3 linked regions of the Arabidopsis thaliana genome follow. The protein of the gene in region 1 interacts with the protein of each later gene in a pairwise test. Each region holds a gene or a part of one and is shown on either strand. Other genes may lie near its edges.

Region 1 (9,565 bases):
TGATATGCGGGCATGTGATGTGTCTAATGCGTACGTGTGCACTCGTGTCCACGTGCACATACACGTGCGGTGTACCCCGCGTTGATAGGGTCTCGATTATTTCCAATCACGTATATCAATTGTTTTTGTTTTTGTTCTTTTTGATAAAAAAAATTTTTGTTACTTCACAATTCACATATGTATCCAAATGCAAGCGACAAACATATTCGCACGAAAGAGTCGAATGTTTTGGTTAGTGATAGAACATTATATATTGATCTTGATCGTATGATTTCATTTATATTTAGGGACTGAATTATATATTATATTGTAACATTTAACATACAGTATATCATGTGTTGCTAGTTATGATTTACATGCACTTCGAAAATGGTATCTGATTTTTTATATGATTTAGAACTTATCTGGCACACATCATTGAATAGGATCTAACACATTAAAACACTGTCTAACTTATTTGTTTGTATGTGTGTGTTAAATCATCATTTTAGCTAAGATTTTTAACCATAGGCAAAGAAATGACTCAAATGAGCAAACGAGAAACTGCAGACAGCAACATATATCAAACTAACTCTAATAGGCCCAATATAGCCCAATAAGAAGTGTGACCGATGGAGGGAAGAATCGAATTTAAATGATACAGAGTTTTTTTGTTTGGAGAGGAATAGACTGATATGATAGTCCGTGAAAATATTTTCATCTTGTTTTCAATGTGGAGATATTTTAAAGTTTGAAACCAATCCAAGTTCTAAAACATCAAAAGCTTTTATTCTCTGTTTAAACCACTTGGTTGGTCTTGGTCTTCTTGAAATATACAAACCAGACCCAAACGATAATCAGTGAAGATGACTGCATCATTGGGTCTTTAAGTTTCCTATTGGGCCAAATCAGCCCAACTATATTATTGTTATTATTTCAGTCCATTAAAGATTTTCGGCCCGTTTTATCGTTGGGAATTCATCTATATTTCCCCAATTTGATGATACACAGAACAATTTCATGTGTATACGATAAGAGGCAAATTCAAAATTTGCAATCAATGTAAAGTGGAAATGAGAAGCATGGTGGCTCAAATCAACTTATCTTTCCTTGGAATACAAACTACAAATGATGACGGATTTGGCTTCCCTTTGAATTTACCTTTTACCTCTCTCTTTTTTTTTTTTTATAGGTAATGTTGTTATTGGACAAAAATGTTAAGAAAATAAAGGTGAATGATAAATTAGAAGAGTACCCATAACTATTTTGATTATTTAAGTTGCCAACCAAGCTAGACCACTTTCCAACTTTTATAGACAAAGTGTAAGAACTTAGCACATGCTTTCCAACAAGGAATATGAAACTTTATTTCAAAAAGATTATTGTTAAAGCTTTTAATCATTCTAAAAGGTGATTAATATTTGAATTATTGGAAGTAACTTGTTTTGGACATATACCAAATTAATCAATAGTATCAATGGACATATAACATGTTGTGAGACTATATCAATGTTATATTCCAAGCCAGTTAAACCAATTTATAATGATACCATTTATAGATAAACAATACACTTTACACACATTATTTTCTTAGAATTGGGTCTCATATAGAACACTCACAAAGGTGACTTATAAAAAATGCTTCAAAGATCCTAGTCTTTTAGTGTGCATTCCTCAAAATCGTAGTTGATATGTATCTTGCTCCTATTCGGGTTTTGGTCTAGAATTTTGGTTTCAGGAATTTTCAATTAACTCATTAAAACATTTATAACATAAAAAGATATATCACGAAAACCGATCAATCATTTAATATATTTTTATTTTATTTTATTTTTTGTCACAATAAAATCTAGACAATAGTGTTTAAACATTTATCAAAAAATTCACCTTACGATTAATTTGTTTTATATTTTGTGATGATGCAATTTAATCTATATAAATTATAAAACATATCGATAATCTGTGTTTTTCTTTTTCTACATATAAAATTCATAAAAATGAGAGTTTTGAAGCTCTTAAAATGGACTAGTCAACAATTGGCCAATCTTTGTTCTAAATTGCTAATAAACGACCATTTCCGTCAATTCTCCTTGGTTGCAACAGTCTACCCGTCAAATGTTTACTAATTTATAAGTGTGAAGTTTGAATTATGAAAGACGAAATCGTATTAAAAATTCACAAGAATAAACAACTCCATAGATTTTCAAAAAAACAGTCACGAGAAAAAAACCACAGTCCGTTTGTCTGCTCTTCTAGTTTTTATTATTTTTCTATTAATAGTTTTTTGTTATTTCGAGAATAAAATTTGAACGATGTCCGAACCACAAAAGCCGAGCCGATAAATCCTAAGCCGAGCCTAACTTTAGCCGTAACCATCAGTCACGGCTCCCGGGCTAATTCATTTGAACCGAATCATAATCAACGGTTTAGATCAAACTCAAAACAATCTAACGGCAACATAGACGCGTCGGTGAGCTAAAAAGAGTGTGAAAGCCAGGTCACCATAGCATTGTCTCTCCCAGATTTTTTATTTGGGAAATAATAGAAGAAATAGAAAAAAATAAAAGAGTGAGAAAAATCGTAGAGCTATATATTCGCACATGTACTCGTTTCGCTTTCCTTAGTGTTAGCTGCTGCCGCTGTTGTTTCTCCTCCATTTCTCTATCTTTCTCTCTCGCTGCTTCTCGAATCTTCTGTATCATCTTCTTCTTCTTCAAGGTGAGTCTCTAGATCCGTTCGCTTGATTTTGCTGCTCGTTAGTCGTTATTGTTGATTCTCTATGCCGATTTCGCTAGATCTGTTTAGCATGCGTTGTGGTTTTATGAGAAAATCTTTGTTTTGGGGGTTGCTTGTTATGTGATTCGATCCGTGCTTGTTGGATCGATCTGAGCTAATTCTTAAGGTTTATGTGTTAGATCTATGGAGTTTGAGGATTCTTCTCGCTTCTGTCGATCTCTCGCTGTTATTTTTGTTTTTTTCAGTGAAGTGAAGTTGTTTAGTTCGAAATGACTTCGTGTATGCTCGATTGATCTGGTTTTAATCTTCGATCTGTTAGGTGTTGATGTTTACAAGTGAATTCTAGTGTTTTCTCTTTGAGATCTGTGAAGTTTGAACCTAGTTTTCTCAATAATCAACATATGAAGCGATGTTTGAGTTTCAATAAACGCTGCTAATCTTCGAAACTAAGTTGTGATCTGATTCGTGTTTACTTCATGAGCTTATCCAATTCATTTCGGTTTCATTTTACTTTTTTTTTAGTGAAAAATGGCCGATGGTGAGGATATTCAGCCACTTGTCTGTGACAATGGAACTGGAATGGTGAAGGTGAGTTAGACTGTTTATTTAGATACTGTATGGTTCTAACCTTCTTTGTTGTACATGTGTAAGACTACTGATCATGATTTTTGTATATTAACAGGCTGGTTTTGCTGGTGATGATGCCCCGAGAGCAGTGTTCCCAAGTATTGTTGGTCGTCCTAGGCACACTGGTGTCATGGTTGGTATGGGTCAGAAAGATGCTTACGTTGGTGATGAAGCTCAGTCCAAGAGAGGTATCCTCACTCTGAAGTATCCAATCGAACATGGTATTGTAAGTAACTGGGATGACATGGAAAAGATATGGCATCACACTTTCTACAACGAGCTTCGTGTTGCCCCTGAGGAGCACCCAGTTCTACTCACAGAGGCACCTCTTAACCCTAAAGCTAACAGGGAGAAGATGACTCAGATCATGTTTGAGACATTCAATGTCCCTGCCATGTATGTTGCCATTCAGGCCGTTCTTTCTCTCTATGCCAGTGGTCGTACAACCGGTTAGTTCTTAACTCTAAACATCCAAGTCTGAGTTATATTATCTTCTTACTTGTATTTACTTAAAGTCGTTCTCTTTTTGTAACAGGTATTGTGCTCGATTCTGGTGATGGTGTGTCTCACACTGTGCCAATCTACGAGGGGTATGCTCTTCCTCATGCTATCCTTCGTCTTGATCTTGCGGGTCGGGATCTCACAGACTCACTCATGAAGATTCTCACTGAGAGAGGTTACATGTTCACCACTACCGCAGAACGGGAAATTGTCCGTGACATAAAGGAGAAACTTGCTTATGTCGCTCTTGACTACGAGCAAGAGCTAGAGACAGCCAAGAGCAGTTCTTCAGTGGAGAAGAACTACGAGCTACCTGATGGACAAGTCATAACCATCGGAGCTGAGAGATTCCGTTGTCCTGAGGTTCTGTTCCAGCCATCGCTCATCGGAATGGAAGCTCCTGGAATCCATGAAACAACTTACAACTCCATCATGAAATGTGATGTCGATATCAGGAAGGATCTCTATGGAAACATCGTTCTCAGTGGTGGTTCCACCATGTTCCCAGGAATTGCTGACCGTATGAGCAAAGAGATCACCGCTCTTGCACCTAGCAGCATGAAGATCAAGGTGGTTGCACCGCCAGAGAGAAAATACAGTGTCTGGATCGGAGGATCAATCCTTGCATCCCTCAGCACCTTCCAACAGGTAAAAATCCCAATTCCGCCTCTTTAAAACTTTCAGCTCCATTTATGAAACATGAGTGAAAATACTGAAATTTTGTTTTGTTTGTGTGTGTGAATCAGATGTGGATTTCAAAGAGTGAGTACGATGAGTCAGGTCCATCGATTGTTCACAGGAAATGCTTCTAAGTGTGTCTTGTCTTATCTGGTTCGTGGTGGTGAGTTTGTTACAAAAAAATCTATTTTCCCTAGTTGAGATGGGAATTGAACTATCTGTTGTTATGTGGATTTTATTTTCTTTTTTCTCTTTAGAACCTTATGGTTGTGTCAAGAAGTCTTGTGTACTTTAGTTTTATATCTCTGTTTTATCTCTTCTATTTTCTTTAGGATGCTTGTGATGATGCTGTTTTTTTTTGTCCCTAAGCAAAAAAATATCATATTATATTTGGTCCTTGGTTCATTTTTTTGGTTTTTTTTTGTCTTCACATATAAATATTGTTTGAATGTCTTCAATCTTTTATTTGTATGAGACAATTATTTAAGTATCGGGTGACAATGCAGCTATTATGTATTGTCGATTGTTATATTGGCGCCCAAAATATATACTTAGCCTAAGAATTTGGTAAGTGAGTGGCTTATGTTTTACTCCAGCAAAAATTGTGTGTGTATTACCATTCTGATGCGAAACAAGAAAAGAATTTGATCTAAGAAACCAAGTTTATTCACTAGTTAAAAAACAAATGACCTAATGTAATCGACTCCACATATCAAAATACGTAAAACAAACATTGTATGTTGACAAAAGGGAAAAGAAATGATTTATTTGGTTAAAAAGAAAGCTGGATTCAATTGCAACAGTTTAGTCGAAATCATTTTGAAAGCTTACAATGGATTGAATGTGAATATTCCATTAAGCCGCTTCTGTCTACACAGAATGTTACGCTTGGAGAGCAGCAATCATTTTCACGTTTTTATCTTTTTAGGTGGACATGTATATTATTGGTTACGCCTTTGGAGTTTTTCGAAATTTATTTCTTTCAAATCACAAGATGACTAAACATCACAATCTGTTTATCTTCCTAACTAGTTAAATTTTTGTCCCCACCATTGGAAAGATTTGAAATGGTCGGTCCAGCCAAATCACTCAAATACTTTATGAAAACTTTGACAAATGATCCATTGGCCAACTCATATACACACACAAAATGTGTAGTTGCCGCACATACTCACCGACTTCATCTGTCTAATTCCTTTACTTTATTGTATTCATTTTTCAATTGTCTATTGAACCTTCCAAAGAATCTACTGTCTTCTTTATCGGTGAGCTTTCGGTCCAAACAACTAGTGTATGATGAATTGATAATTGATTAAAGTGTTAGTAGATGATTTAATATCCAAGTAGATGGTAACTAATTTACTATATCAAAAGTTAATGTGGTAAACAGAATTTCTCTTTTTTCGTCTGAGGGCCGTTTTTAGGCCCATACCAATATCAAGTAATATGTGAAAGCTATTGTATAAATCCCAGACCATAGTCTTATGATCAGAGCAACGGTACTTTTTTTTGTTGGGACAAAAGAGCAAAGTTACTTAAAAAAATGAGAACGACAACGTGAAATTTTTGCATCCCAAAATGAGTAGAGTAGACCATTAGGACTACCAGCCCATTTTCTAGTCCCAATTCTCAAATTAAAGGCCCATTTAAGCCCAAATATCTAGTGAGAAAACATTTCTCACCATCTTCTTTAGTTCTTTTGTTGTAATATCAACACTAGGACTTAGAAGTAAACAGATGGGAGCAAGCTAATAGTACTTATACAGTATTATTGAGGAATCAATTATGTCAATAATGAATGAACTGGAGTTACTAACATTCCCAAGACAAAAAAAAGACTAAATCTAGATTTTTCTTCTTCTTTTAAACCAAAAGAAAGAAGAAATACTGATGGTCATAACCCAAACCAAAGAAAAAATTGAAAATTTTCTTGAGAAACAAGCAATTTCTTCTTATGGAAATGAGTTTGAAAAAAATGCAGTAAACATTTTGGTATAAAAGATTTAAGGTTTCTCTATTCTTTCCAAAACAAAAACATTCCCTTTCCCATCTCTCCCTACTTGTAAATCTTCGTCTAAGTATCTGCAATAATTTCTCAGAATCAAGGAATCCAATCCATAACAAACACAATTCTAGTTACGATTTTGGATTTTAATTAAAAAAGGATACGAAATCTCGAATAGTCCCTCGGGGTTGAAGATTCCCAAAAGAAGATCCATGTTCTTCCTAAATATGTTCATCAACTGATTCCAACACGAAACAATTTTTTTATTACCAAAAAAGGAATTTGATTATATATGTCGGAGAAAGAAAAAAAAACAACAACACAGACCTGGTCTGGTTTGATCGTTGAGCTTTCATAAGTAATCTCTACACTCTACAAACAAACAAACGCAATTCCGTCAAAACGCGATTTTTCCAAGAATCTAAAAAACCTAAAAACGTCAAGAAAACGGTAATGTACCGATTTGGACGAGATCTTGAAGGAAGCGACGATTCTAAACTCGCCGTCGAGTAGATTCAATCCCCGGACATCGAATTTCAACACATGGACCGTTTTGCCCTTCGTTAATTGAAAAAGAAACACATTAAAAACGTCATCACTAAAAAGCTGAACTGATCAATTTCTTTTTTATCTACCTGAGCAATGTCAATCTGTTGAAGAAGATCACCAAGAGAGACGAAATCTCGAAGACCCAATTTAGTTCGTTTAGAACCCAATACAGTGATTGTACTGTAAATGAGTTTCCAGCAACCTCCGATCTTGTCTAACTCTCCAGTCGGCTCCGGTGTCGGATTCCGACATTCCAAAAGCTTCACCAGTCCCTCGATCTCTGTCTTTTTATCCGACTTAACTCCGAATATCCCTCTATTGATCCCTTTAATCCCAATACAATCAGATAACAGAATCAAAGCATTTAAAATCAAAATTTGAACTACGAGCTAATGAGTTTCGAATTAAAGATTCTGATAGTCGAAAGGAATCTGAAAGGAGCGAATCTAATCACCTTTGAGAGCTTCGTAGAGCTCTTCTTTTATATGAGAAACTGTAATCTCTTCTTGTTCTTGTTCTTGTTCTTCATCTTGTTGTTGTTCATTTGGGGAGGAACAAGAACTCTGTTCTGTGACTTTCCCGATGAACATGGGTCTGAGCCTAAATGAGTTGTCACTAAAACTCAGCGTTTTGCCATTAGAACTGGTGAAAGAGACTAATACTTTCACGTTTCCTGTTCTTCTCGAGATTGCTCCTCGTGAAGCTGCCATTGATGGTGGCTGGAAAAGGTTACTCGTCATTAGCAGTTTATACACCAGAATCTCTAAACCCAATGGAGCTTAATAAGAAGTAGAAGAAGAAGATGGGATTTGAGGAAAAAGAGAGAGAGATAGATTTATGGGGAGGAGAATGGACAGTTTTTTTTGGTTATTTTATCCATCTTTTAGCATCTATCTCTCCCCCCCACCATACACTGCACTGACTCTATTATAAAATTTAGCCAATCCCATTGGTCTTTTTTTTCTTTTTTAAGATGGTGTCATGGTAAAATTCTCAAAAAAATCTCCATCTAAATTGAGAAAAACCCAATTTTTGTTATATTTTGCAACCAATTGCATATGTTTTAAAAAAGTGTTTACACTTCATCAAAAGCAGTAATCGGAGTACAGTAACCACAAAGTATCAACATAGTAAATGCTCTGTTCTTTGTCACAAGGCTTTTAAAAAACAGAAATTCAGGCATCTTTGGTTAAGGTTGCAGAGTCTTGTGATGGTGGCTTCCATTGTTGTGGAGTCTGAGCTTTCTTAATAGAGAGAGCATGAATCTCTTTCATTTCTTCTTCTAGCGCAGCATTCACCATACGATGCCTCTCCAGCAATCTCTTCCCTTCGAATTGTTCAGAGACAACCTCCACTTCAAAACTCGAACCACAACTGCAATAAACAGTTTTGCTGATATTAAGAACAAGAAATTATGCCATAAGCCAGAGAATCAAATGTGTATTGACAATCCGGTACTTACCCTCCAGATATGTCAATGACTTCCTGGTACACACAAAAACAAACAATGTCACTAAAAAATTCTAAAAGCTAAAGATTGAAACAATTGGAACACATGAATCAAGTGAAAAGGGAAATAGATTGACATTGAAGTAACTTCAATCTTCACATGTTATAAAGCAAAGAAACTATACACATCCTTGGATCTGCTTTTTGAGTTCTAGTTCACAAAAAACCATGACACAAATAAAATTTTCCGACAAGAACACTCACTACTAAGTTGCTAATACATCAGGAACACTACGTCATCAAATCCTGAGCTCAGTATCACACTGCATCAAATTACACCTAACTACGCAAACAACCACCTTTTATATTCTGTTTCAGAGCTGAAAGACAACACATAGTGATGTATAATCTAGATGCTGAGATTATTACAATACATAGTACCTCTTATGATCCAACTATCAAAGTGTATGATTTTGATCAAAGTGAGCAGGTCAAAAATCTCAAATTTGGCAATTTTCCCAGATCAATTTGATGATTAGGGTTTCAAAGTTTCCCACAAAAGTTTCAAACCCTAATCAATAGATGAAATTGAAAGAAGAAAGCAGTATAAGAACACTCACGAGATGAATTGGCTTAAGTTTCGAAGTCAATGAAGCTTCGACTTGCTCCTTCGTCACCATCTCTCTCTCTCTCTCTCAAACAAAAATTGAAATCCCTAATTACTGTACTCATTGAATTAGAATATTAAACCATACGCTATTTGGTTTTGGTTTAGCGAGAGTACGGTTTAGTTTGGTTCAATTGGGATACCATTCGGTTATCGACAATTCCAAAATAATAACTAGGGTTTAAGCTCTGCTTTCCTTTACTTCGTCTTCCTCACTCCTAAAACCCTCTCAGTCTCTCCATTTCCCGGAGCAAAAATAGCTCTCCGACCATGAAGTTTGGATCTTTACCATCCAAATCCCTTCTCTTCCGCCTCTCTTCTTCCTCCACAACCCAATCTCACCGTCGAACAATTACCCTTTTCATCACTAACAT
Region 2 (10,329 bases), on another chromosome or scaffold:
GGGGGCAACCGCCGTTTGCACCCGCAACCGCCTAGGCGCTTGTCCGCCAGAGCATACTTTTCCAAACGGGACTAAAGTTCACAGGACGGACAAGGAGAAGTTCCCTTTCGAAGCGTATCACTATTACTGCGTTCCGGGAAACGCGCGTTTTGCGGAATCTCCGTACGAGGTTTGTGATCCGTACAGTAATCCACAACCGCAGGAGATTCTGCAGATCTTGCCTCATCCAGTGTGGGAACAGTTTGGGTATCCGACAAAGAAAGGACAAGGTTGGATTGGAGATCCAAGAACTTGGGAACTTGATGTCGGAAAACTCTCTCAGTCACTCTTCTTTTACCAGGTATTTTTTGTACTCCTCCTTTATATATATATATATCTGCATTTACATTATCACGAAAAGAGTATTAAAATTTCGAACATGTTAAAAAATGCAGGATCCAGGGACGAAACCGGTGGAGAGACATTGGTCGTCGATAGATTTAGGAACTGAAATATATATGAGTAAGAATCAAATTGCTGAATGGACTGTAACTGATTTCGACATTGTTATACCAAATGCCGATATTTAAGTGGAATAATAAGATTCTGTTATAAGCTGCTAAACCAAACCATCTCGAAAGCCTAAAACACAATTGAAATTCTTCTATAAACCGACGGGTTTTGATAATATAAATCCAAAACAAAATCGAGTTTTAGGTAACCGAATAAATTCGTTTTATTTTAATGTTATAAATTTTCTTAATTAATATGAAACCAAATCTAGACTAAATAATATAAACCATAGTTTCATCAAATTAAAATAAAATTATAAACATTTTTCATTTTCTGTAAAATCGAAATCAAAACGAATTTGTTAACCAGCTAACTGCAGATTTTATCCAAAGAAAAAAAAAATGGTAGTCAAGACCAGTCAATAGATCAAATAATTATGATTGGCTAATTTAGTTTAGTTTCGTGGTCGCGAGGCAGTAGATTGTTTGCTGATCGTCCCTATAGAGTATAGACTGAAACCACCGGAAGACGACGGTACGAACCGTTAATTAACAGCCGTCAAAAGACGTGACGAAAAATTCCTCAGCGTTTCTTTTCAGTTTCCTTTAAGCTCTCGATTGTGTTTGTTTAGGTAACGAGAAAAAAGCGAGACAAACGAAAAAGGTTTTACTTTTTTTTTCTTCATCTGTGTGTATTTTCATTTTCTGGGTTTTAAGGGTTTCGCTTGCAAAGTCGAGAGCTTTTTATCTGGGTGTGTTATAATGGCGGGTGATTGTGCGATTGACACCGAGAAATACTCTCTGCTGGAGGATTTTAATGTCGATGTTGAAGTCGAAAACAAAGCATTTGAGACTTTCTCACTTTGTTTTTGGGTTTATCTCTTAGATTCCACCACATACCCTTCTGCAATTATCAGACAGGTGAGTTCTCAGAAATGTCCATCTGTTGCCTTCTGTGTTATAATCGTTTTCATATATCCATGTCTTGTGAGATTAACTTGTTTTGCGAATTGGGGGAAAAGGTTCAAACTTTGTGTCGCTTCTTTGATTTTTTTTTTTTTAGTATAACCATTGTTGATTTATGAGTTTTAAACTGTAACAACCAGCTTCTGATTAAATAGTGGCTTTCTTCTCAGGTTCACTCTGACATGAGTGTTAGTGCACCTTTCCTTGTTCTAGATGAAAACAAGAAGATGATGCTTTTGCCATTGACTCTCCTTCACAGGGAAGCTCCTGATCCTGTTAACACTTCTTCTTGGACTGAAGTTCCTAATGTTTCTACAACGGCTAAGTTTCCTCTTCAAAAATGGGTTCATGTGGGTTGTGAGGTAGTAATTATAAGATCTCTGAGGACTCTTATTAATTTGACCAATATCTCTTTTCTTCGGATTTACTGATTTCTGTTGTCTCCTAGGTTTCTAGAAACTATATGCGCCTTTATATTTGTGGAGAGCTTGTAGGAGAGCAAGTCTTAACTTCCTTGATGACCAATGGTACAAATTCAGATTGCGCACGAAAGATATCGTTATTTAGTGTTGGTGGAGATGGTTATAGTGTTCAGGGTTTCATCCACAGTGCAGAAGTTTTGCCTTCTAATCTCTCTGCAAGTTATCACTACACAAAGGTAGTTTCTTGTCTTTGCCTTCTCTTCTTTTTCAACAAAAGACTCTTGTCCTGTGTTTCTTTATTTCGCTTCATTTCTTTTCCAGGACCCACCTTTATGGTTATCTGTTGATAAGCCATCTACATCTGGAATTGAATTGGATGAAGATGGTGTTTGGAGTGTCGTTAGTGGAACATTTTGTTCCTTGGATGTTGTTTTAACCAATGCTATTGGACAGCCTGTGCACAAGGATGTGAAGGTTCATACTCTTATGCTTTCTAAAAATTTCTGCATTTGTTTAGCTCAGGAAGTATTTCTGATAGCGCGTTATCGATTTGATGTTGCAGGTTGTGGCTTCTCTACTGTATGCTGATAGTGGGACGCATGTTGAGAAGAGGAGTGACTTTGAGGCATTCCTTTTAGTAAGCTATGAAGGCATTGAATTATCTGCTGAAGATAAACCGTGCAACTTATTGAACGGATGTGCTTCTTTCAAGTTCAAATTATCTCAGGTGGTGATTATAAATCTAGGCCATCGGAATGGGATTTCACATTCTTGTTAGAATTTTTTTGTCTATGCTAAAAGGCATTGAAGGATCCTTGTTTTCTTTTGTTTTGTAGCTTTCTTCCAAGAGTGATAAGAGGTTGTTCTGCATCAAATTCGAAATACCAGAAGTGAAGGCCAATTATCCTTTCCTCGAAACTGTCACCAACCAAATCCGTTGCATTTCGAGAAACCGTGATTCTGTTTCCTCTATGAAACGGATCAGATTAGGAGAAGAAAAGGTTTCTGAGAGTAAGGTGGATAATCCAATTTCTCTGAGTTACGTTTTGTTTTGCTTTGTATCCATATCCCACTTACTGTTATTCTGCATTGTTGTTGCTCTCGAGTTAGATTGTGAATGGAAATGGTACGAGTATGGAATGGAGGCCTCAGAACCACGAAGAAGATAACTCTTCAACTGATTCCGAAAACACTGAAATGAGAGACTCGACTGCTTTCAGGAGATATTCAATCCCAGACTGGATTATTTTCAAATACTGCCTTGGAAACTTAACAGAGAGAGCTCTTCTTCTGAAGGAAATCACAAACAATTCATCAGACGAAGAAGTCTCGGAATTTGCAGATCAAGTTTCTCTCTATTCCGGATGCTCCCACCACGGGTAAAGAAATCAAATTAAACTCACACCTGCCTCAAATAAAATAGAACACTAATCTTCCAAATTTTCCAGCTATCAAATCAAAATGGCAAGAAAACTGATAGCAGAAGGAACAAATGCGTGGAATCTGATCTCTCGGAACTATCGACATGTTCATTGGGACAATGTGGTAATTGAGATTGAAGAACATTTCATGAGAATAGCTAAATGCAGCAGTAGATCTCTCACTCACCAGGTCTTGTCTCTTTCTCTTCTCATATTGCTTGAACTTTCACCAAGATCAAAGTCTTGATCTTTTGTATTTGTGATTCTGACATGAAATTGTAATCAGGATTTTGACCTTCTAAGAAGGATATGTGGATGCTATGAATACATAACTCAAGAGAATTTTGAGACAATGTGGTGTTGGTTGTTCCCTGTTGCTTCGGCTGTATCAAGGGGGTTGATTAATGGAATGTGGCGCTCTGCTTCGCCTAAATGGATAGAAGGGTTTGTGACTAAAGAAGAGGCAGAACGTTCGCTTCAGAATCAAGTACCGGGCACTTTCATTCTCAGGTTCCCTACTTCAAGAAGCTGGCCACATCCTGACGCTGGTTCCGTGGTTGTGACTTATGTCGGCCATGATTTAGTTATTCATCATAGATTACTCACAATCAACCACATCTGCGAGTAAGTAAACCTCTTTATCTCCTTTTTTTTTCCCCTCAGTGTCTGTCTTGTGACAATTGTTTTTGTTTTTAGTTCTAGTGAAAGGTATACAGATGCAAAACAGTTGCAAGATATGCTTTTGGCGGAACCTGAGCTATCTCGGCTTGGAAGGTGAGTGAGGAAGTGAAAAAATTTAGTTTTTGTTGAAGCAAAGAGAGATCAAATTGAAGATCTTAAATTGCTTATTTTATTTATTTTGGTTTTTGTTGCATTTTTCAGGATTATAAGAGGCATCTGAATCTAATCAACAGACTCAACTCAACAAAGTAGAGAAGCATCGACTGTTATTGAGGTTTATTGTACAGATAGATTTGCTAAGTCTAAGTATTAACTGATACTAACTTTTGTAAAGCTCAGTGATTTAAATTAGGTGGAAAGGATTTTTATTGTAAGACTTAAGTATATTTGTTTATCTAAAATCAATTACCGACAAGAAAGAAAGGAGTTGCGATTTTTGCTTCTTCTGCTCAGTTTTTATATTTGTGTGGCCCATTTATGTTCCAACTACATATTTGCTTGGTCCCTAATCCCTTATTAGAGGTTAATTATGGTAATGTTTTTTTTACCAAGAAATAAATAAAATAATTATGGTAATGTTTTTCTTTCATATTTTTGTTTTGTTATGTACTAATTAAATTTAAAAGCTCTTAGAAAATTTATTCAACCATTTTTGTTAATCTTCTCATATATGATGACTTATTGTGATTGGTAATACATGGAATGAGAATAATATACAGAAATTGTAAATTAAGTCATAACAGTATTATTTTGATTCACAATGGAGTTGGAGAAATGAATTATCAATATAAAAAATCATGGTTTCACGTAATTTGATGATTTGTTTTTAAAATACTCCCTAGAGCCTAATTATTGTAGGTAAAAAACTTATTAGTATAAAATTTGTGAGATCTGGATTAATGATATTATAATTGTCTTGAAACCAGAAAAATGGATATTCTCTAATCTCAAAATATTTGATACGAGTTAGATGACGGACCAATCGGTAGGAAACACGTGGTGACATTTCAGCTTCTGATTACAACGATGGACTTTTTTTTCCCTCTCTCTCTAATTTGTATATTGAATTAAAAAAGAAAACGGACACACACACACACACACAAATCTGAAATCTCTCTCGTCCGCCAAAGGTCGAGTTTTGAGAGCGAGTTCTTACTTCTGATGTGGTTTTGTCTCGTCCACCCAAAGAAAATCAACACAAAAAAAAAAAGGGATCGATTCACAAACTTATAAATTTCTTGTCTTTTTTATTTTTTATTTTTCTGAAAATTTGCCATACACACACCCAATCTCTCTCTCGTCAGCCAAAAAGAAAAAAACTTAACATTGGACTCTCAGTTTCCGAAGATTCTTCTCTTTGGACTCTCAGTTTCTGAAACTTATTATTAGCCGTCTTTTTTTGGTTTGGGTTTGCCTAAAAGTTGTCGTCACTTGTGGATTTTGGTCTGAGAAATGATGATGTCATGTCGGAATATAGACTTGGGTACGAGTGTTCTTGATCATTCTTGTAGCTCTTCTTCAACAAGTCGTCGATTCTTGTTTGGCAATTCTTCGAAGACCGTTTGTATGATTGGTGGCAGAAGCTGTGTTGGAAATTTGGTATTTCTCCGGCGAGATTTGGCTACTTGCAGAGCTGTTCCGGCTAAATCCAAGGAGAATTCTCTGGTCAACGGTAACCAATTTTTCAGCAGAACTATCTGATTTTGGTTGTGTGATTGATTGAGATTCTTTGATTTTGAGGTTTGGTTGGTTAAGTAATTGAATCATGTTTGATTGGTCTTCACCTTTTTGGTGCATAGTTTTAGTCTTATAACAGTTCAGTTTTGAGCTCATGAGACAGAGAGTCTCATGAATTAAAGTTTCGAGCTTTTTGAATGTTTGCTATGGAAATAGAAATCTTTAGTTTTGGTTGAGGCAAAGAGTCTTATAAGCTGAGATAATTTATGAGAAGTCAAAAGCTTATACATTTAAGACTTTTCTTCAGGGTTTTGAATATTGATGATTGTGTAGGTATTGGTCAAGATCAAACAGTGATGCTCAATCTGAGGCAAGAGTCACGAAAGCCAATATCTTTGGAAACTCTGTTTGAGGTCGTAGCTGATGATTTGCAGAGGTTGAACGACAATCTTTTATCGGTTAGTACCTCGCCACCATTTCTTTTCTGGTCTCTTGATAGAGGGTTATGTTTCTTATGTAAATTCTCTTCTTTTATAGATTGTTGGTGCAGAAAATCCGGTTTTGATATCTGCTGCTGAGCAAATCTTCAGCGCTGGTGGCAAGAGGATGAGACCGGGTTTGGTATTCCTTGTATCACGAGCCACTGCGGAATTAGCAGGCTTAAAGTAATCTATATATAACTGTCATTACATCTTTGACCGCGAAACTGCTCATAATCTTTAGAAATAAAAATGATGGTTTATAGCTGATCTTGGTGCAGGGAACTTACAGTAGAACATCGGCGTTTAGGTGAGATCATTGAGATGATTCACACCGCAAGTTTGATACACGATGATGTGTTAGACGAAAGTGATATGCGAAGAGGTAAGACAAAAGTTCCATTCTTTTGATCGGAGTATGCATTTTCTCTGCAAAGTGTTTAAGCTTTCTCTCTGTGTTTGTTAGGAAGGGAAACGGTTCACGAGCTATTCGGAACAAGAGTAGCTGTATTAGCTGGGGATTTCATGTTTGCTCAAGCATCATGGTACTTAGCAAATCTCGAAAACCTTGAAGTCATTAAGCTCATAAGTCAGGTAATATTCCTTTCTGAGATTAGATGAAGCTACTCAATACAAAGAACATTTGGTCTGAATCTTGATTTATCTTTTTGCAGGTGATCAAAGATTTTGCAAGCGGTGAGATAAAGCAAGCATCGAGTTTATTCGATTGTGATGTCAAGCTTGATGACTACATGCTAAAGAGTTACTACAAGACAGCTTCATTAGTAGCTGCAAGCACCAAAGGAGCAGCAATTTTCAGTAAAGTCGAAAGCAAGGTCGCAGAGCAAATGTATCAGTTCGGGAAGAATCTCGGTTTATCTTTTCAAGTAGTTGATGACATTCTGGACTTCACTCAGTCCACAGAGCAGTTAGGTAAGCCTGCAGCTAATGACCTAGCCAAAGGTAACATAACGGCGCCAGTGATCTTCGCGCTAGAGAATGAGCCAAGGCTAAGAGAGATCATTGAGTCTGAGTTTTGTGAGCCTGGATCGCTTGAAGAAGCGATTGAAATAGTTAGAAATCGCGGTGGGATCAAGAAAGCTCAAGAATTAGCAAAGGAGAAAGCTGAACTTGCGTTAAAGAATTTGAATTGTCTTCCTAGGAGTGGTTTCAGATCGGCTCTTGAGGATATGGTAATGTTTAATCTTGAAAGGATTGATTAGTTTCAAAGGGTATTTGGCAGAGGAAACTGTAACAACACTCTTTACTTGTTCAAAACTTCAAACACAGATTTTTTTTTTTACTGTATGTCATAATGGAGTAATAAACAAAAATTCATGCTTATTATTGCAAAATAAAAGTAACTCAATTTTTTAGATACTTGTGAATGGTACTAGACCCAAATATAAATTGATCTGTGTTAAAATTCTATACATCTTGGTATTGAAAAGTGAAAACAACAAATTTCACATAAACAGTAAAAAAATTAAATCGAAGTTTTGTAAATGGTCATATTGATTTATTTATTTTTGGGACAAAAAATGGTAATATTTATAAGCTTGCTATTTAGTTGGATTTAAGTTTGGTTTTGATTGAGATTCTTTAACTAACTCAAAATGAAACATAAAATTTTCTGGAACCGAATAAATTAATAAATTTGTGGTTTCAATTCGAGAATGTTTGTCTGGACCGAATTACCTAAACAAAACAAACAAATTAGAAATATAAATGCAAAAACAGCTGATCTTGATGCGTCTCTTCAACCATCTGTTCTTTTCTATCTTCTTTGATTCTTTTTTTGTTATAATTATTGTTTATCTTCTTTGATTCATTGCCTCATGTATTAGACTAAATTAGTAAATGAGCTAAAAGCATGTTTTCTTAATCATTTTGTCGAGATTCAACATATATAAGATTACTATTTCACGTGGCATTTTCTTTTAACATGGCACAAGATTTTTTTGTAGTGAAGTTGAAATTAGGCAAACAAATAAGAAAAGCCTCTCTTATGTGTGTGATGACTAAAGTGGAATTAAAATATACAAATGAAACTCATTATGTTAAACACATAAACTAAATCAGGTGGTGGTGAAAAATATGCTATGAAAATAAAAAAATCTTATGAAATTTCTAGATTTTAATTTGTTTCATATATACAAAAACACCCAAATAAGATTTCTTGACCGGATTCAAACTGCATTTACCACTACACACCTTCAAGGTTCTGTTTTGTTGATGAACAAAAAAAAAGGAAGCACCTTTACATTTTTTTCCTCATTCTTCTACCTCCTACAGTTTTCGGATGATCAAATGAGCTCCATGTTGTGGAAATGTAGTTGCAGCTGGGAAAGGAGCATGAGTATACGATGGAGAGAGTTCAACACTGAACCTTTGAAGTACCATTGCCAAGAAGAGTTTAGCTTGCAACATCGAAAAGTTCTGACCGATACAAGTCCGAGGGCCCGAGCTAAATGGCAAGAAGGAGAGTCTTCCTTTGGTTGCACCCGCCACGCCATTGGCGAATCTCTCGGGCTTAAACTCTTTCACATCGTCTCCCCAAAGATCAGAATCATGGTGCACCAAGAGCATTGGTATTGTTACTACAACTCCTTCAGGTAAAGAGAATCTCTCTAGCTTCACTTCTTGTTTAGTTATCCGACATGTGAAGTAAGCTGGTGAATAGAGTCGTAGAACTTCATGGAGGATCATTGTTACCTAATGATAATAACCAAAGAAGTTGTTAAAAAAAACAACCCTTTTTTTAGTTATAATGTGGTTTAGTCACTTTTGAAAATGTATACTTACGACTTTCAGGTGGCTTAGCCCTTCGAAATCGGGTTCGTTGTTACCGAAGGCCTGAGAAATCTCGTCTCTTGCTTTGTTTTGCCAATCTTGATGTTGGCTTAGAGCAACAAGTGTCCAAACAAACAATGAAGAAGTCACATTTTGACCAGCTAGATAGAAAGCCTTGCAGTCATCTATCAGATCATCAAGACTCAGCCCTGAATCTGGTCCTTGTTCTTTGATGGTTTTTGTATTCGAAGCCAACATCGAGAACAACAGTCGCTGTTTTTGTCGGTACCTCTTCCTCTTTTTATCTCCTCCTCTTTTGTCTCAATCATCGCTTTAAACATAGCCCTCATGTCCCTTTCGGTTTCTCTCAACCTCCTGTTGAACTTTGTTGGCAAAAACCTGCACATAGAAAAACTGAATCAGCAAAACTAGCTTCCGACTTTTTTAATTAAACGCAGTTGATTTTAGACAATTTCTTTACTTTGAGCCAGGAATGTAGACGGCTCGAATAGCAAGGAGACCAAGATCAATCTGTTCTTGTTGGATTTCGAAGATCTTGATACCATCTTTGTAGGAATCACCAAAAGAAGCACGAGCAAGCATGTTTCTGGTTAAGTCATGACAGTGAGTCCATGAATCAAGTTCCATTGTTCCTTTTGCTGAGGCTAATCTCTCCCATTCTTCTAACATTTCTTTGCAACTCGAGTTAAATGCTGGTAGTATGCTCTGTTCATTTATACCATTTCAAAATCACTACCAAATTTCACACCAAAAAAAATCACAGAAATGGGTCTTTAAAGAAGCTTACATTTTGTATATTATTTATTGCTACTTATTTGCTCATAATGTTTTTGTTAAAGATGATGAGTGCTCTGCATATGTGAGGTTTCTACACTGATAATGAAATGATAAATTCTTTTTGTCGAAATAAATTTGGTATTTTAGAAATTCTTGAGTTGAAATATGATGATTTCATTTTCACCTTCTTGTAATGTGCCTTTTTGGCTTTTTCTGTTTTTTTTGCTTTTAGACTTTTAAGTTGGGTGACTTGGTGGCGTGGCGTGGATTCTTTAGTTCTTTGCTGACTTTTTTTTTTCTCCGTTTCTTCTTTTTCTATAAATACCTTTTTTAGGTATTTCTTTATGTTCTTTCCGGGATATTTAATATTTTTTTGTTTAAGAGATTTTTTTTTTCTTTTCTGTTATATCTTGATTTTTTTATTTTTTTTAAATAGTTAATACATGATTTTTTTTTTAATATAATTATTGTTTAAATCTCTGAGCTAAGAAACAAGAGGAAAGACGTTACTTTATCTGACTTTTTTCGAAAAAAAGTAAAGAGAGAATGAAACTGACCAAAATCTAAAGAATGAGACGAAAATGACGTCCACAAAGTTCAC
Region 3 (10,218 bases), on another chromosome or scaffold:
GAATAATTGTTCATCTTCTTTTAGATGTTGAGGCTCAAAAGTTGTAAAATCTTGCAATATTACTGATCTTCTTATACATGTTGAGTATAAAGTCAACGACAAAAACTAGGTAGTAGCTGGTAAGATACCCACTTCACGAGTTCTTTTATTACAATTTTTTCATAAAGTGTTACTTCTCCATTTAATAATTTCAACAAAAAGCGGATGAATTTTTATGTATAAACTCATTTTTCATTTCATACGTAATAATAATATATGAACTGTTTTCTTATGTGGCCTGTCCAATTGTTGGTGAGGATGAAAAAAAGTTGTAAACCTACTTTCTTTTTCTATCTATCTCCGTTTTCACGTAACCAACTTCTTTGTCTTCTCTTCTTTTTCAAATCAAGATAATGAAATAAGGAAACAAAAGTTTACAAGTTTTCAGAAAAACAATGGCTAATGCAAAGGAAACAACGTTTTATATAACAATCTCTGTGGTTGCTTTTGTCATTGGCAAAATCGTAATCGCTCTTCTTTTCTACAAGAGATGGAAGAGAAAGCACACAATTCATGAAAATGGATTTCCAGGTATTAAACTAGCTTTATCTATGCTACTATGTGAAATAATCATTTCTCTAATGTTTTAATTTTGTGTTTTACAATTTTGCAGTCAAAGGAGGAGGAAAAATGGTGATGTTTAGATCTCAATTACTTAACTCTGTTTCCTCCGACATGTTTATGAAGAAGACACATAAACTAAGCAACAAAGACATTCTTGGTTCTGGAGGATTTGGAACTGTGTACAGATTAGTCATTGATGATTCAACTACTTTTGCTGTGAAGAGGCTAAACAGAGGAACTTCTGAGAGAGACAGAGGGTTTCATAGAGAGTTAGAAGCAATGGCTGATATAAAACACAGAAACATTGTAACTCTTCATGGCTACTTTACTTCTCCACATTACAATCTTCTCATCTATGAGCTCATGCCTAATGGGAGCTTGGATTCTTTTCTACACGGTACACATAAAACAGAGCATTAAGCACAAAACGTGTATTTGAGTGGTTTCTTTAGCCACAAGTTTTTTTTGTTATTTGCAGGAAGAAAAGCTTTGGATTGGGCGTCGAGATATAGAATCGCAGTAGGAGCGGCTAGAGGGATTTCGTACCTTCACCATGATTGCATTCCTCACATTATCCATAGAGACATCAAATCTAGCAACATACTTCTTGATCACAACATGGAAGCTAGGGTTTCTGATTTCGGTTTAGCCACTTTGATGGAGCCAGACAAGACTCATGTTTCGACTTTTGTGGCTGGAACATTCGGATATTTAGCTCCTGGTTGGTACACAACTGATAGATTCAAATATATAAACCAAAATTTGGATTGCATTTCGATTTTGTTCATGTTTGTTTTTGTTATAAACAGAGTATTTCGATACTGGAAAAGCGACAATGAAAGGAGATGTTTACAGTTTCGGAGTTGTTCTGTTGGAGCTTTTAACTGGAAGAAAACCAACAGATGACGAGTTTTTCGAAGAAGGAACAAAGCTTGTTACTTGGGTATAAAGTTATCTATCTATTTTCCTTGTATAAGTTATTAATCTTGTTTGGTTTCAAGCGACGTCGTTGTGGTGTGTAATTGTATACAGGTTAAAGGAGTGGTAAGAGACCAAAGAGAAGAGGTGGTGATAGATAACCGATTAAGAGGATCATCGGTTCAAGAGAATGAAGAGATGAACGATGTGTTTGGTATAGCGATGATGTGTCTTGAACCCGAACCAGCAATTAGACCAGCCATGACTGAGGTTGTCAAATTGCTCGAATACATCAAACTTTCCACACGTTCCTCTTTTTGATGTTTCTCTTGTCAAGAAAAATAATCAAATTCAGTTCCAAAATAAAGTTTTGCTGAAGAAAAAGATTTCGAGATCTGCTTCTTTGAAAAGCTAAATTGTAATTTAATACTCCATATTAGTATAGTAAAGATTATTTATAATTGATTTGTTTTAGTATGGAATAAAGGATTATTACACACAAAAAAGCCTTATATCAACTATTCTTTTTTAAGATTCTCGTACAAAGTGGGCATTGGATCTTTAATTTTTCCCTAATTTACAGCTCAGCTCACGTTTTGATGTCTTGTTATTTGATCCCAAATGTTCTCACTACTACATTAAACCTTTTGAAGCAATTAGCAACCTTTTTTTTTTGTTACTTAGCAAAACCAAACCAAACATTACGTTTATATAACGACACTTTTGCTAAAACGGTTACTTTTCCTAGAAGCAATTTGCTGGATTATTCACCTCAAAATCCTAAAAACATTAATTAGCATTAGATATCTAAAAAAAGTGAAATACAAATCTTTGTTTCTTTTTAAATTGTTTTATTTTATAAAATTGATTCACTTGCTCATCATTTATATACACCAAAGAGTGTAGAAGAGTTCTCTCACTCAAACAAAAATCAAACAATGGCTAAAGCATGGATCTGCCTTTCCTTCCTCATCTTCCTCTACCTTGTCTCAGGTATATAAATTACCAGTTTACCACTAATCAGCCATCCTAGTTTAATTAATTTAATAATCCTAATTAACAGTATCATCCTCATGTTCTTTCCTTTTAACAGAACGAAACTTCATCAACGTCAACGCAGAGGTATTTGCTTAGACCAACTATCAAATTGCTATCTGATTTTTTTTTCTTACTCAATGAGTTTTTGTTCTAAGTTGTTGTTATAGACCAAGACTTGGTGTGTGGCTAAACCTTCTTCCGATCAAGTAGCACTTCAAGATAACATAAACTTCGCATGTTCTCATGTTGATTGTCGTGTTCTTTTGAGTGGATGTCCATGTTACTCCCCTAGTAACCTCATCAACCATGCATCTATCGCCATGAATCTTTATTACCAAGCCAATGGAAGAAACTATTGGAACTGCAATTTCAAGAACTCCGGACTCATTACCATAACTAATCCGAGTGAGTTTGCTCTTTCTCTTTAATTATGCTATCGAAAAACACTTCTCTATCTATATATAGAGAGAAGTGGTTTTAAAGGTAATTTCATTTTTACCTTTAAGTATCTGGTTAATTATATTAAAGGTAATTTCATTTTTTCTATATGTGTAGGCTATGGAAACTGCTACTATGAATAAACATGAGCAAGAAAGGAAAAAAAAAAACCATATTTCTTACAAGCAAACAGAAGAGGAATGTGTTTTCTTGTTGTTGCAATGTTTATGAGTTATAATTTAAATTTCCAAAGTTCGCAGATTTTGATTAATCAAATTTGATAACATAAAAGCAAAAAAGAAAGTATCCAACACTTATCAAAATTTGATCACAATTATTCCATCTCATTTTCAGTAATGACCCTTATTACGTACTGACCGTAAACATAGAACTTACCGTAATTAAGCTTTTAAAATTGAATTCTTCACCACATGAACATTTGGAAATATGTAGAACAACGTAACGTTTTCTTTTCTTTTTTCTTTGGTGTCAGAAACTAACGCATTTCTAAAGATTTTTTTTTTTTATAAAGGTAACGTATTTCGATATACTCGAATGTTAGTATGTTAAACCATTGGATAAATGACACGTGGTGAAATCTTAGCCTCAAGATTAGATAAGCGTAGACTAATCAATCGTTTCCCTCTTCTCCTTGGTATTGAACAAAAACACAGTCGTCACTTTCGTGCCTCCCGAATGATCTCATGTGGGCTTGTCTCGTCCACCCAACAAACTATAGAAAAAAAACTCGATCGGCTGATACTTAATCACCCACTTGATTTTGTATTTTTGTACCTTTTTTTGTTGTAATTTTTCCATACACCCAATTTCCCGTGGAAGAAAAGGAGTCAGCTTTTTCGTTTGCTTTAAAGCTTGAATCTTTACATAGTTCCAGTTACTTTCTATAGAGCTTCATAATCCCTAGTTGCCCAAAAGGATTCTGGGTTTTGTGAGAATGATGACGTCATGTCGGAATATAGATTTAGGTACGATGATGATGGCATGTGGTTGTGGCCGTCGTCAGTTTCCTTCATTAGCGAAGACTGTTTGTAAGTTTACTAGCAGCAATAGAAGCTATGGCGGTCTGGTGGGGAGTTGCAAAGCGGTGCCAACGAAATCAAAGGAGATCTCTTTGCTCAATGGTATGTATGATTCTCACTTAAAGTCTTAAACTTTTTGTTTTATGTGATTAGATATTTGATTTAGTTTTTAAGTGTTCGTGAACCTTGTTCTACAATAGTTACAGATTTTTAAGAATCACTGGAGTTTATGCTTATTGCCTCATGAGAATTGTAGGTATTGGTCAATCTCAAACAGTGAGTTTTGATTTGAAACAAGAGTCAAAACAGCCTATTTCGTTGGTGACTCTGTTTGAGCTAGTAGCTGTTGATCTGCAGACTTTGAATGACAATCTTTTATCGGTTAGTGTTTCTTATAAACTCTTTCTGGCACTGTCTTTGTCTATCCTGTGTTTGAAGTTTCACTAGGGGATCTAACAAAGTGGTTCTTTATAGATTGTTGGTGCGGAAAATCCGGTTTTGATATCTGCGGCTGAGCAGATTTTCGGAGCTGGTGGTAAAAGAATGAGACCGGGTTTGGTATTCCTTGTATCACATGCCACGGCGGAATTAGCAGGCCTAAAGTGAGTAGTCTAAAGACTTTACTTTATTTTGTTGGTATTCCTTTCATTCAGTTGGGTATCCATCTTTTATCACAAAATGATCATATTCAGATGTCTTGATGCAGGGAACTAACAACAGAACACCGGCGTTTGGCTGAGATCATCGAGATGATACACACTGCAAGCTTGATACACGACGATGTGTTAGACGAGAGTGACATGCGAAGAGGTGAGTTTTGTTAATAGTTATGAGATTCATCTATTTTTGTCATAAAATTGTTTGGTTTGGTTTAAACTCTGTGTATAATTGCAGGAAAGGAAACAGTTCATGAGCTTTTCGGCACAAGAGTAGCGGTGCTAGCTGGAGATTTCATGTTTGCTCAAGCGTCATGGTACTTAGCAAATCTCGAGAATCTTGAAGTTATTAAGCTCATCAGTCAGGTACTTAGTTACTCTTACATTGTTTTTCTATGAGGTTGAGCTATGAATCTCATTTCGTTGAATAATGCTGTGCCTCAAACTTTTTTTCATGTTTTCAGGTGATCAAAGACTTTGCAAGCGGAGAGATAAAGCAGGCGTCCAGCTTATTTGACTGCGACACCAAGCTCGACGAGTACTTACTCAAAAGTTTCTACAAGACAGCCTCTTTAGTGGCTGCGAGCACCAAAGGAGCTGCCATTTTCAGCAGAGTTGAGCCTGATGTGACAGAACAAATGTACGAGTTTGGGAAGAATCTCGGTCTCTCTTTCCAGATAGTTGATGATATTTTGGATTTCACTCAGTCGACAGAGCAGCTCGGGAAGCCAGCAGGGAGTGATTTGGCTAAAGGTAACTTAACAGCACCTGTGATTTTCGCTCTGGAGAGGGAGCCAAGGCTAAGAGAGATCATTGAGTCAGAGTTTTGTGAGGCGGGTTCTCTGGAAGAAGCGATTGAAGCGGTGACAAAAGGTGGGGGGATTAAGAGAGCACAAGAATTGGCTAGGGAGAAAGCTGATGACGCTATAAAGAATCTACAGTGTCTACCTCGAAGTGGCTTCAGGTCGGCTCTAGAAGATATGGTGTTGTATAACCTCGAAAGAATTGATTAGCTTTCCAAAAGAAGTTGGAAACACTGAGACATGCTTATAGACTTATAGTACAGTAAAACACACACAAAAGAGGAATGATTGTAACTCCTATTTCAAAAGTAATAACACATGATTTCGATTTTTGGAAAGATCTTTTGACTGATAATCAGCAATTAGCAGAAAATGACAAGTGTTGAAGTCATTACTACAGTAGCAAGAGTGTTTCATAGAATAAGCTTTGGATGCGAAGTCTTCAACAGAGGGGCACGCGCAGCGCCTTTGTGTAGTATGTGAGTGCCCAAAGAGTGAAAATGTTTCTATAGGTTGCATAATGGACCATCACGTTCATCTTGAACACTCCCATTATTTCCTGCATTTTGTGGTATATAGAGTTATCTTGTATCAGATTGAAGCGCAAGTTGGAGAAAGAAAAATGACAATTACCTCTTGCGGAAAATCGCCATTATCCAACTGAGAATTGATCAACACTTTAGCTGCGCGATGAACAGGCAAAGGGTCTCTCTCCATCTGACCACCCATAATAAGAACCATCAATGCTTGTCCAGTATTCACCACATTGGTTCTGTTTCCCTCTAGAAGTGTATATTTCTTGTTGGGGCAAGAGAGATAACTCTCACCCCAACCGCCTTCAACGTTTTGTGTCTCCAGAATGAACTGAACCGCTTTACGAATCGGCTCACAGTTCTGGTACGTCTTGCCTGCAGCCACTAGACCCCTTACCGCGAAAAAGGTTCCATACATGAAACACACACCCCAGTTTCCGTACCACGAACCATCGGGCATTTGAAAGCTTTCTATGTATTTGACAGCATTCTTGATAAACTTTTCAACCTCTTCCCTTCTGTGCTCCGGAAACTCCTTCAAGAACCGAGCCAATGCCACTATCGCTGACCCCGTACATTCTACATACCTAAACAAAGCTCCATATATTCCATAGTATAAATCATTCATTTTTCAAAAGAAAAGAAAACAAAAAAATTGATGTGGTAAAGATAGTACTCATGCTCGACGATTGTGTCTTCCATAAACTCCACTGGACTAAGCCACTGAAATTTATTTTGAGCCATTAGTATTACACTAAAAAACACAAACTAGTAAGACAAATTAAAATAACTACCTCTAACCATGTTCTTCCACGAGCTGCCTCCCACACTGTTATACCTCCATTTTTGCTCTGTTAAAATTTTGTAACAAATTAATATCACTAATCACTAGCCGTTGTGGAGTTTTGGTTATAAAATTATAATACCTGAAAATAGAGAAGTAAATTAACGGCATCATAGAGCCTCTCTACATCCATTTTCTCGCCAATCAACTCCGATGGCATGCTTCCAAAGACAAGGCAACACTGGCCAGCCAAGTGTAAACCGCGTTTAATCCTCAAATGTTAGTTGATTGATGGTAAAAGGGTACTTTAATTAAAAAACTAATAACCATTGGAGTCAGAACCTCTAAACTCTCAGCAGTACAATCCGAAACAGGCCATCCTTGGTCTTGGTCCGAAAATGTCCATCCTCCTTTCGCAATGTCTTTCAACATTTTTCTATGGTCACCAGGAGGATTTTGTGTAAGCTGAGATTTATTCAAGAAACTGTATCCTTTGATTAACGTTGATCTAATCTCATCATCATCGTCATCAACATCTTGATAAGCTAACATGACTTGAAGTGAGAATGCTGTATCCCACAGTTGGCTACCAAAAGACTGCACCAAATGACATTCTCTAATTTAAAAACTCAACATTTTCAAAACAGAGTAAAAAATATATATACTCTTTAGTTTATGACTAACTTGGATTTTCAGACCATCCTCCCCAATCCATATGTAATCCGGGACTCGAGCAAGATGTTTCTTAAAATAATCACCGTCGGGGTCTTCTACCCAACAAGCAAGCATATGAAACGGCTATATATCAAAAATCAAAGAACAGTGTTATAGTACTAGTTATGATTTGTACTAATACGGTATATTGAGGAAATTTTACCTTAGGCACACATCCACCGGTAAAGTAACGGCTGGCTTCATCTTGATAATGAAGAAGTTCCATTGTGGTTCGAAGAGCTTTTTGCCTGATAAGCTTGTTGCAAGGCCATCGATTCAGGATATTCTCTGACAATATATGAACACATTTCCAAAACATTTCTTGTAAAAATGACTGTGGATAGTAGAGATCTTCCTGCATCATGTCATTTATTATTATTATTATGTGATACTTCATTGGTCTCATGTACTTTTCAACTTTTTACCTTTGCGCACTGATTGCGAGCTTGACTCCATAAGATTTTGTCATAAGGTTGAGGATAAAGCTCTTCCCGAAGCTGTAAAATGAGAGGTGTTGGTGTAGCTACAAATTTCTTACCATACAAGTATGACACTCCCATAAAAATGTCCCGGAAATAAATCCATAGAGTACCTGTTAACAAACATGTTGATTAGAGACATGCTTGGACCGATCATATATATACTCCAGTAAGCAAATATAACAAAACCATAACAATTTATAGAATAGAATGTGGAAGTGGAACCTCCGTTGAAGGGCGAAAAAGTAGGGAGCATCCACACCTCAGGCGGTATTGGTTTGCAACCTGACCAATCATACACTCCAAGAATCTGATTGGCACAAAACAATCCATGATACAACTGAAAAAAAAAACTCCTCGAAAATAATAAGACTATTTTTTTTTCAATAAAATAAGTATTCCGCCATGCATAATACCGATAACCAAGCTTTTCCGATCAAGGGCGTATAAGTAGCACCACCGTGATCGAGGATCCACTTACGAGCCCTTGCACAACCACTTCCTTTAATATCATCAAGATCTGCTTCTACTCCCAGAATCCGTAGGCAAATGTAGTTGATGACTGTGCAGAACATAGCGCTTTGGCCTTCCACGTGTATTCCCCACCCACCATCTTCGTTCTATAAACCAAAATAATTATCCTCGTAGTTAACGTCAGAAAACTATCATAGTAAAGATCAGAGAGGGGCTTATCACTAAAAAGAAGCTATATGTGATCAAATGTGTTACATAATAAGTTCACCTGATGGTTGTACATGTAACGCAATAGTTCTTTGCGATGTTCCAAAGTCAAGATTTTCTCCAAATGTCCAGTGATGTACAAGCATATGACCTAAAAGTACCATATCATTACACTTTACATATATATTTAATGAATAGAAAACAAAAGAATAGTATAGTATTAGTAGAGAGAGTGAAGAATAGCTCACAAAGGGAGCTTCGAAGAACAAGCAACCAGAGTTTTCAGCAGGCCAATGTCCATCCTCAGCTTGCAATGCCTTGAAATAGAGTATCCCTCTTCTCAGTGCCGTCTTTGCGTCTTTGTACGTTATATTTTCCGCATCTCCTATCTCCACTCTCGGAATCTTCTGCTCGAACTTCTTCTCCCTCAGGAACTATTAAAATCCATCCAAACACACAAACTTATATTCAACCAAATGCAAGTTTTACTGCTGCAACTAACTAACATGGTAGTGTCTCCCAAGAGATCAAGTCCCGAACTTTCTCATTATCATCATGCATGTTAAAATTAAAGCTTACCTGCATTCGCCAAAGGAGATCAGCACTGATCTTGAAACGTGATCGGTTTATGGAGAAATTCTGACGAGCTTCATCGACCTCAGCGAGTTCCTCTGGAGAGCATGCATCGGCATCAAACTCCCAAGTCTGCCTTCCGGTGTAGTTGTTGGTGGTGAATAAGTGAGTCTCATCTCCGCCCTTAGCCCCGATCTTCAGCCTCCACATTTTGTATCAAACCTTTTAGAAAGTCAACAAGAACATGCATGTAAAACATTGGAGCACGTATAAATAATGCCATCATATTGTGTAAGGTTTCTGAACGCAAGCTCACACTGAGAAAGATGACACCTAGCATCCCTCTTCTAATATGTGTCTTTCCTCTCAAACTTCTATTAAATTTTATTATATATTAAAAAAATATCTTGAAACTATCAAGGAGATACATTTTTGCTTCTATCATTCTTTTTTTGAAAGAGATAACATTAAATCTTATATAATAAATAAAATAAAATTCAATTAAACTAATAGAAGTGCCTTTTCTTTGTGACATGTGCCTTTTCTCTCAAACTTTCATTAGATTTCATTATGGTATTATGATTAAAAAAAAAAAAATCTTAAACAAATATCTATGGGACATACTTTGTTTTCATCATATCGGAAAGGCATAACATTAAGCTAGACATAATTTTTGTCTATTTTTCTACTTATTTTCATTAAATTTTAAAATTAACATCTAACAAAATTTATAATAAATTAAATATTCTCTTTCCTAAAAAAAGTCATATATAATAATAATAAAAGTTATTTAAATCCATCAAATAAAGTAATAAATAGTGACTAAATCCATCAAATAAAGTAATAAATAGTGACTAAATCCATCAAATCCCTATGTCCAAACGTAAATCTATATGGAGTAATGTTTTTATTGTTTTCAAAACGTTTGGGTATATGTGCGCACTTGACCATAAATTAG

What was found.
Region 2: the proteins of AT5G09820 (region 1) and SPS2 interact in a two-hybrid assay, tested with the Arabidopsis thaliana proteins (one study listed by BioGRID).
Region 3: the proteins of AT5G09820 (region 1) and SPS1 interact in a two-hybrid assay, tested with the Arabidopsis thaliana proteins (one study listed by BioGRID).

The regions. Positions count from the first base shown.
Region 1 is NC_003076.8:3,049,566-3,059,130, forward strand, and holds AT5G09820 (Plastid-lipid associated protein PAP / fibrillin family protein), read right to left. Parts: upstream 8,014-9,565; 5' UTR 7,816-8,013; coding exon 7,530-7,815; intron 7,401-7,529; coding exon 7,162-7,400; intron 7,085-7,161; coding exon 6,986-7,084; coding exon of another isoform or gene 6,899-6,985; coding exon 6,854-6,898; intron 6,765-6,853; coding exon 6,691-6,764; coding exon of another isoform or gene 6,654-6,690; exon of another isoform or gene 6,604-6,653; coding exon 6,525-6,603; 3' UTR 6,053-6,524; downstream 1-6,052. Other genes in the region: ACT7 (actin 7), read left to right, coding at 3,244-3,303, 3,398-3,791, 3,878-4,491, 4,590-4,655; AT5G09830 (BolA-like family protein), read right to left, coding at 8,251-8,449, 8,538-8,560, 9,145-9,204; AT5G09840 (Putative endonuclease or glycosyl hydrolase), read left to right, coding at 9,462-9,565.
Region 2 is NC_003070.9:5,823,856-5,834,184, forward strand, and holds SPS2 (solanesyl diphosphate synthase 2), read left to right. Parts: upstream 1-5,059; 5' UTR 5,060-5,433; coding exon 5,434-5,653; intron 5,654-5,991; coding exon 5,992-6,116; intron 6,117-6,195; coding exon 6,196-6,323; intron 6,324-6,418; coding exon 6,419-6,522; intron 6,523-6,603; coding exon 6,604-6,731; intron 6,732-6,811; coding exon 6,812-7,360; 3' UTR 7,361-7,528; downstream 7,529-10,329. Other genes in the region: AT1G17030 (uncharacterized protein), read left to right, coding at 1-340, 435-569; SHA (SH2 domain protein A), read left to right, coding at 1,254-1,412, 1,484-1,513, 1,628-1,819, 1,906-2,115, 2,201-2,353, 2,442-2,606, 2,716-2,895, 2,990-3,258 and 4 more; AT1G17065 (uncharacterized protein), read left to right, coding at 8,448-8,752, 8,806-8,873, 8,952-9,148, 9,182-9,215, 9,430-9,533, 9,961-10,003, 10,165-10,175; CYP72C1 (cytochrome p450 72c1), read right to left, coding at 9,134-9,329, 9,412-9,656. UniProt on the Arabidopsis thaliana protein: Involved in providing solanesyl diphosphate for plastoquinone-9 (PQ-9) formation in plastids. Catalyzes the elongation of the prenyl side chain of PQ-9 in plastids. Contributes to the biosynthesis of plastochromanol-8 (PC-8) in plastids.
Region 3 is NC_003070.9:29,530,898-29,541,115, reverse strand, and holds SPS1 (solanesyl diphosphate synthase 1), read left to right. Parts: upstream 1-3,633; 5' UTR 3,634-3,952; coding exon 3,953-4,139; coding exon of another isoform or gene 4,140-4,143; intron 4,144-4,293; coding exon 4,294-4,418; intron 4,419-4,511; coding exon 4,512-4,639; intron 4,640-4,743; coding exon 4,744-4,847; intron 4,848-4,931; coding exon 4,932-5,059; intron 5,060-5,157; coding exon 5,158-5,706; 3' UTR 5,707-5,938; coding exon of another isoform or gene 5,939-6,055; 3' UTR 6,056-6,056; downstream 6,057-10,218. Other genes in the region: AT1G78530 (Protein kinase superfamily protein), read left to right, coding at 435-570, 653-1,000, 1,082-1,324, 1,413-1,546, 1,636-1,842; AT1G78520 (Carbohydrate-binding X8 domain superfamily protein), read left to right, coding at 2,460-2,514, 2,615-2,643, 2,727-2,964, 3,115-3,140; AT1G78500 (Terpenoid cyclases family protein), read right to left, coding at 5,939-6,055, 6,130-6,616, 6,706-6,752, 6,824-6,880, 6,956-7,054, 7,156-7,410, 7,498-7,611, 7,691-7,882 and 6 more. UniProt on the Arabidopsis thaliana protein: Involved in providing solanesyl diphosphate for plastoquinone-9 (PQ-9) formation in plastids. Catalyzes the elongation of the prenyl side chain of PQ-9 in plastids. Contributes to the biosynthesis of plastochromanol-8 (PC-8) in plastids.